Saccharomyces cerevisiae S288C: one gene and its partner. Changing the gene in region 2 together with the main gene of any one other region gives a genetic interaction. Each region holds a gene or a part of one and is shown on either strand. Other genes may lie near its edges.

Evidence for each region.
Region 1: mutations in ADI1 (region 2) and SOL1 together harm fitness more than expected from each alone (negative genetic interaction), as found in Saccharomyces cerevisiae (2 studies listed by BioGRID).

What each region holds. Positions count from the first base shown.
Region 1 is NC_001146.8:688,000-691,797, reverse strand, and holds SOL1 (Sol1p), read right to left. Parts: upstream 1,478-3,798; coding exon 512-1,477; downstream 1-511. Other genes in the region: ABZ1 (4-amino-4-deoxychorismate synthase), read right to left, coding at 1,800-3,798. UniProt on the Saccharomyces cerevisiae protein: May be involved in regulation of tRNA subcellular distribution.
Region 2 is NC_001145.3:281,887-285,141, reverse strand, and holds ADI1 (acireductone dioxygenase (Ni2+-requiring)), read right to left. Parts: upstream 1,041-3,255; coding exon 501-1,040; downstream 1-500. Other genes in the region: ANY1 (Any1p), read right to left, coding at 1-42; YMR008C-A (uncharacterized protein), read left to right, coding at 1,594-2,061; PLB1 (lysophospholipase), read left to right, coding at 2,558-3,255. UniProt on the Saccharomyces cerevisiae protein: Catalyzes 2 different reactions between oxygen and the acireductone 1,2-dihydroxy-3-keto-5-methylthiopentene (DHK-MTPene) depending upon the metal bound in the active site.

The DNA of each region.
Region 1 (3,798 bases), on a different chromosome or scaffold from region 2:
TGTATACCTACCACTGCTATGTATGTTGAATCATGTTTGTGTGGATAGTCTACACACAAAGCTTGATAATGCCATACGAATAAGGTGGTCTTGCAAACTGATTCTTCGTAAACTCTGTAATTAACATTTTGTTTCAATCTCTCACTTCGCTTAAGACCAAATAATCTCCTTGAAAGAAAAGAAAACTTAAAAGCATGCTTTTCTCTTAGCGGAAGCCATAGGTCCAAAAGGGAAATATCCACTGTGGTTGTTATTATTTTTTTCTAAAGGGTTATTGTATATATTATATATGTTGTATGTTATATATGCACACTACGTCACTAAGATGACTTGTTTTATATAAAGTTACTTCTCGAGAAAATTCAAAAACATAGGGTGATTTATTGCGATTACTAAAGGGAAGGGTGGGGATAGAAAGAGCTAAAAAAAGAAAATGGTTAAGGTTAAATCATAGTATTGTCATTAGTTGTCATTATCATCAGAAAGAAAAAGAACCCAAAAAATTAAACACCTACTCAGTCAAATTCTCATCATCATAAAACTTGTACTTCTTCTTAATTACAAAGACATCTTTCAAAGCATCGTCGTCTACAAACCATGAAACACGACCGGCGGCGCCCTCATTGACAATACTACTAGGCAATCCCTTTTCAGGCCTTTCCATTATTGTCTTGATTACAGGCGCCTTTGTGGCGCCCTCTACAACAAAGGTGACTCTATGAGAGTGACAAATCACTGGGATGGTCAGTGAAATCCTATTCGAAGGTCCGCTGGGTGCATTTTCTACAGGTATGACCCATGCCAGATTTTCACGTAGATTCTCTTGAAAATTGGGGAATAACGAGGCTATGTGACCGTCAGGAGCGCAGCCAAGCAGAAACAGATCAAACATCGGTAGTTTCACAGAATCTCTACCGGCAAATCCTTTAATTAGAATTTTCTCATAGTTATCTGCACACTCTTGAGGGTCGTTAATCAATGACTCATCAATGTGATAAATTTTCGGAGTTCCGTACTTCTCCGTATCTATTAAATCGAATATTTTTCTCTTAGCAAGACCGTAATTGCTTTCACTGGAGCTAAAGGGCACTAGTCTTTCATCAGCAAAGTAAATGTCCCATTTACCCCATTGAACGTCGTCTCTTTTCAACAATCCTTCGTGCAACACTTGGATTAACGAACCACCGGACAACGCAATCTTGAAGCGCCTTTCTTTCTCCTTTTTCAATTTCTTAGTGGCGCCGTCTTCACTACCACCACGGCTGGAGGCATTACTCCTTACAGAATTTACTCTCTCCATCGTTTTGGATTCTGTGTTACCATTTCCGTTAAGGCTCGTTCCGGACATCTGTGTGGACCTTGAGACTTTGCCCTTCTTAAGGGCAGAGTTTTGTGCGTGAATAACATGATCGGCAACTGCCTCAGCTACTCCTGCAAATTCATGGAATGCAAACACTTTAGGTACGGTTGTTGTCATCTTGCAAAAAATTATTCCAGTTAAAATCTATTTTCTCGGGCCTCTTTTATGTACTAAAATGTTATAATATCTATTATCTTATGGTTTGAAAGAATTCTGCTCCGTCAAGCATACATTATAACCTATTGATAAGTAAATTGGAAGGAAAGTCTTCCCTAAATGACCATGCTTTAACTTTTTTCCAATATCCTTTTCCAGGGTTTTCCACGGCACAAAACGTCATTTTCCTAAAGCGAAAAAAAAAAAAAATTCTGCATCGTACAAGAATAGTATATTATTCTAAAGAAAATGTTTGCATACATATCTAATAATATACAAATATCTACATGAAAATTTGTAAGTTGCTCTCCAACTTGTTGTACATTTCCTCTAGTTCGCCATCTAGTGTGCTTAAGACTGTTATGGCCCCCCCTGCACCGAGTTGCCAGCTGGTTCCGCCGTTGTAGGAATACATACATCTAATGTTAACAGACCAATCTCCGTTGGAATTCACAGACCAATATCCCGTGACACCGCTGTAAACACCACGTGCTCCACCATTGACATGTTTGTTTAGCTTGCTTTCTATCTTGTCCTGCAATAATTGCACAGTAATCTTCTTGGGGGCTCCCGTCATAGATCCCGGAGGAAGCGAGTGTTTAAGGACATCAATGCCTGAATATCTCGTCTTCTTACTGGCAGAGGTCAATCCATGTGCCTTTACGACGCTAACGAGTTGGTAAACGGTGGCATATTCTTGCACGGACATGAACTCCTCCACCCGAACGTCAGGAACCAACTCGTAAAGGTCATTTCTGATTAAGTCCAAAATCATTAAGTTCTCACCAAATTCTTTTGGTGTCTTCAGGATTCGTGTGGCTTTTGCCAAGTTCATTTGCGGTCCTTTTTTCACAGTTCCCTTGATGGGACGTAGCTCGCATGTGTCTGCATCCCACTTCAAAAACCTTTCTGGAGAAGTACTTAAGAAGCACAAAACTGGAGGCGTTTCATCTTGGCGGGGAATAATGTCTTTAAACTCAAAAAAACTTGAAAATGGAGCCGGGTTTCTTTGTACCAAGGTCTGGAAAATCCTCCAGGGTTCTATCACCGCAGATGGTACAACTTTGGTTTGCGTTGTGAGACACATTTCATAAGAATCACCCTTATGCATATAATCCTGACATTTCTTAAACGCCTTAGCGTAGTCAAGTTTATCGGGCATAGTTATAATGAAGTCTATCTCCTCTGGAAGATACTTGGGCCAGGACAGGGATTGCTTAATATTCTTCTTTCTAACAAAACTGTCCCTTAATGATTGTTCTAATGCCACTGGAAATGTATTATCCAGAGAAATACAATAAAGCTTCCCTTGCTTGTGATTAATGACTATACTATTGTTGATAAAAACTAGTTTGGCGTCGGGAACAAGGGAATTCTCATCATCATTGCAACGGCCGCATGCAATGTACTGACCTATTTCATAACCTAAAATGCCAACAAGACCTCCAATAAAAGGTATTTCTCTGTGGTTATCGATTATTTTATTCTCCATAAATTTACCCAAAGTGATCCAAAATTGGGATTTATCTTCATGTATTACCTCAAGGGAGCCAGGCAAATCCGAATCTTGACCATCTAGACACTTTTTCAACAAGGTGTAACTAATTTCACTATCTTGCCAATAATGAACTGTAGTCTTTTTCATAGCTCCATAATGAGTGAATACCTGGGATGCGGAGTTTGGTAAAGCAATGATAGACCATTCACCCGTATTTTCACTAATCACAGAAGATGACATGACAAATTTTTCTTCTCGTATGATGTTGCAAATTTCAAATGTCAATTTCGGGTCTTCAGAGACCTCGAACTGCTTAACGTAAGTTGTGTCCTCGCCCTTCGGATATTTCTCTTTTACCTTGTATATGGGGTCTCTATCAATAGTCCTATCCAATCGAGATAGGATATCGGAAAACTCTCCATTAAGTTTCTTCTTTTCCCACCTTCCTGTCTTCACGTTATTTATGAAACTCAACTTGAGAAAGTTACTGACTAACAGCCCCCCCAATTCTGAACAACATGACTCCGGGTGGTACTGTACGCCAAACCATGGCTTATTTTTCGTTTGAGCACTCATCAAAAGAATACCGTTCTCATCTTCGGTTGTGCATAAGGGCAAAAGGGTGTCAATGCCTTCGGCATTGACATGCAATGAATGGTACCTCGTAGATTTGAACGTATCGGGATAACCAGAAAAAAGGCCACAAGCTCTGGCTGCATCGTTTAAATGCATTTCATACACTTGCCCATGCTTGATAGTATTTAGCTCACTGACATCAGCACCT
Region 2 (3,255 bases):
GTCCCTTATTAAAGTAGCATCTAACGGACCTGTTGTTGACATTCTCTAGCTTTATCTGTGGAAAGTATTAATTTTTTATTGAATTTTATAAAGAAAGGAATGCAACAGTATGCGTATAGTTTTTATAAAAAAAATAGGGCGCTGAAACCAAATCAAAATATCAAATGTCGTATCGTTTTTGGCTTTCAGGATTGTTGATGTTTATAAATAGTGATAAGGCTTTGCTTTTTGATATTACGACTATGGCCTATACTTTTCACTATTCTCCATGGAAGAAGTATGCAAATAAATGGAGGAAAAGATGAATACTTGACCAACATCTAAATATAAAAATAATACGAAAATCGTTCAAACTTCCGGTGTTTCTTTTTCCACTTTTGGTGTTTTTTTCTTTTCCTATTTCACAGACTAAAAATCATTCTTGACGGGGAAGTCACCCTACGCTACTTTAAAGATATAAAGAAGTAAGACATTAAGAATAATGTATTATGATGCAGTATTTAGTACTGATTGATCAGGGCAATGTAGTCCTTGCGTACAGGCAATGAATCAGCCTGATTTGACCTGTTGATAGCTTGCCATTTGGGCTCGTCCTTAAACAGTCTCAAGGCCTTGATGTGGTTGCTAGTTGTCAAGGTGAAACGATGATAGATGCCTGGTGGAAGAATCAGTAAATCACCTGACTCTACCAAACACCTAATCCAGTTCTCTGGTGTGGAAGCATCCCTGACGTCAAAGTATCCAGCACCCTCGAGACAGTATCTTATTTCTTCGTCTTCATGTAAATGCTCTTGGTAGAATGTTGCTAGTTTTTCATTAAACTCTGCTTCACTTTTGAAGGAACCTTCGCAGATGTTGACCACATCTCTATTTTTATATTCTCTTTGCCTAGCAATTTCATTCACTTCTTCCTCATTTGCACAGTATTTATAAATCACTCCTAACTTGGCTAATTCATCCAGGGAAAGTTCTGTTCCAGAATTGTGGGGTGCGCGATAATCGGAGTCAACCTTGTTGTCATGAATATATACCTTAACCATTCTAACTTTTGACCTTTTTACGACCTTTTTTAGTGTCTTGTTTGGTGGTTATTGTTTTTTTTGATCTGCAGATGCCACCCTCTTTGTTCTTTTATACTTTGATGTTTTTCAATATGCATATTTCGGTGTTAGCGACTCTACTGTGGCGTCGCCCTGTCGAGCGGCTCTTACAAGGGCCCTTTCAGTCGTCAATGCAAAGAAAACTGGCAGAAATTACCTTCATTGCGCCGTTATGCTATCTTGCCTCTCTCCTGTTATTTAGAAGGCATCTCACTATCTAGACAGACAATACGACTTGCGCACATGTGAATCATTAACAAGATCGTGATTATCGCTACTTCTGCATAGTTTATAGGGAGAAAAAGAGAAGGAAAAAATTGTGTCAAAAACGGGCCAGAATATAAAAAAAAAATATTAATTGAAGAGTAATATGGACTATCGTAAAATACTTGTACTGAACGAGCAGTTAGTCTTGATCTAGAAGAGATGAAAATACCGGTGGGCGGTCGTTCAATCTTCAGCAATTGCAATTTTTTTTACGCATGCAAGATATATGTATGACTTACTCGAGCAAAAATTTTTTGTGCGGGAAATCAAATTCGCTTCAGCCTATTATTTACGCACCGGCAAAGCCCTGAACAATAGCAAGACTCCGATATTTCAGCGAAAGCATTCTTTGCCTGCGTGGCTTTCGTCCGCGGTTATTATTACTGCGCCTGTTAGCAACGACGGAAGTCACTCGATTCTATTTGCTCGTAAAACTCTAAGAATGATAATGCCTATGTTTAGTCCGCTTTTCAACAGAAGTCCTGACGATTGCCCTTCTCATCTGACCGCTACCCATATCTTTCAGCAATTCAGCGCTATGCTGGATTACGGACAGAGTACAAAGGAAGCCACTAACAAGCGCAGGTTAATAAAGGGTTCTGACCTACTTGTTGCCTTGGATCGGAATTGTATTCCTTCAGCCCCCTTTGTCCCCGAAATTGCCCTGCGTAAAAGCGGCGCAGTGGGGTCCTAACGTTTATTCCTTCCAAAGCTTTCTCATGCCACATAGTGCTAAAATAAGTGGACGCATGGGTTTCCTGCACGGACTTCTTCAAAGCGACCTAAAAAGTCCGTTTCTAACTTCGCCTTTCCTCATTATATGCGGTTTACGCCCTTATCTATAAAGGGAAATAACCTCATACAGTAACATGTCCGCTTATTCCCGCATATTTTTCTCAGTTAAGCAACATTCATTTACGTCTCCTATTTTTGCTTAGAAGATGACTTGGTTACTTTATTTTCTTCTAACTGCTTAGGTAAACTACATCATCTAATATATAAAGACGCTTCCACCACATTTAACCAACGGAAACGTCTCTTCGCTGTAAGGTTCTACATTTATTAGGTTATACTAACTAATCAATTCTTCGTTCTTTTCTTAACATTTCTCTCTTTTTTCGTTCATATAACGTAAATTACACGAAGCTATCCATCCTAAGGGCAAACGGGAAAGAAAATAAAACAAAACCATGAAGTTGCAGAGTTTGTTGGTTTCTGCTGCAGTTTTGACTTCTCTAACAGAGAACGTTAACGCTTGGTCACCAAATAACAGTTACGTCCCTGCGAACGTAACCTGTGATGATGATATTAACTTAGTCAGAGAAGCATCTGGTTTGTCAGATAACGAAACAGAATGGCTGAAAAAAAGAGATGCATACACCAAGGAGGCTTTGCATTCTTTTTTGAATAGGGCCACTTCGAATTTCAGTGACACTTCCTTGCTATCCACTCTTTTTGGTAGCAACTCTTCCAATATGCCTAAGATTGCCGTCGCCTGTTCTGGTGGTGGTTACCGTGCCATGTTGTCTGGTGCTGGTATGCTTGCTGCTATGGACAATCGTACTGATGGCGCAAATGAGCATGGTCTTGGTGGGCTGCTGCAAGGTGCAACTTACTTGGCAGGTCTGTCGGGTGGTAACTGGTTAACAAGTACTTTGGCTTGGAACAACTGGACGTCTGTGCAAGCTATCGTGGATAATACAACAGAATCTAACTCAATTTGGGACATCTCTCATTCAATTCTTACCCCAGACGGCATTAACATCTTTAAGACTGGGAGTAGATGGGACGACATATCAGATGACGTTCAGGATAAAAAAGACGCCGGTTTCAACATCTCTTTGGCGGATGTTTGGGGCCGTGCTCTTGCGTACAATTTTTGGCCAAG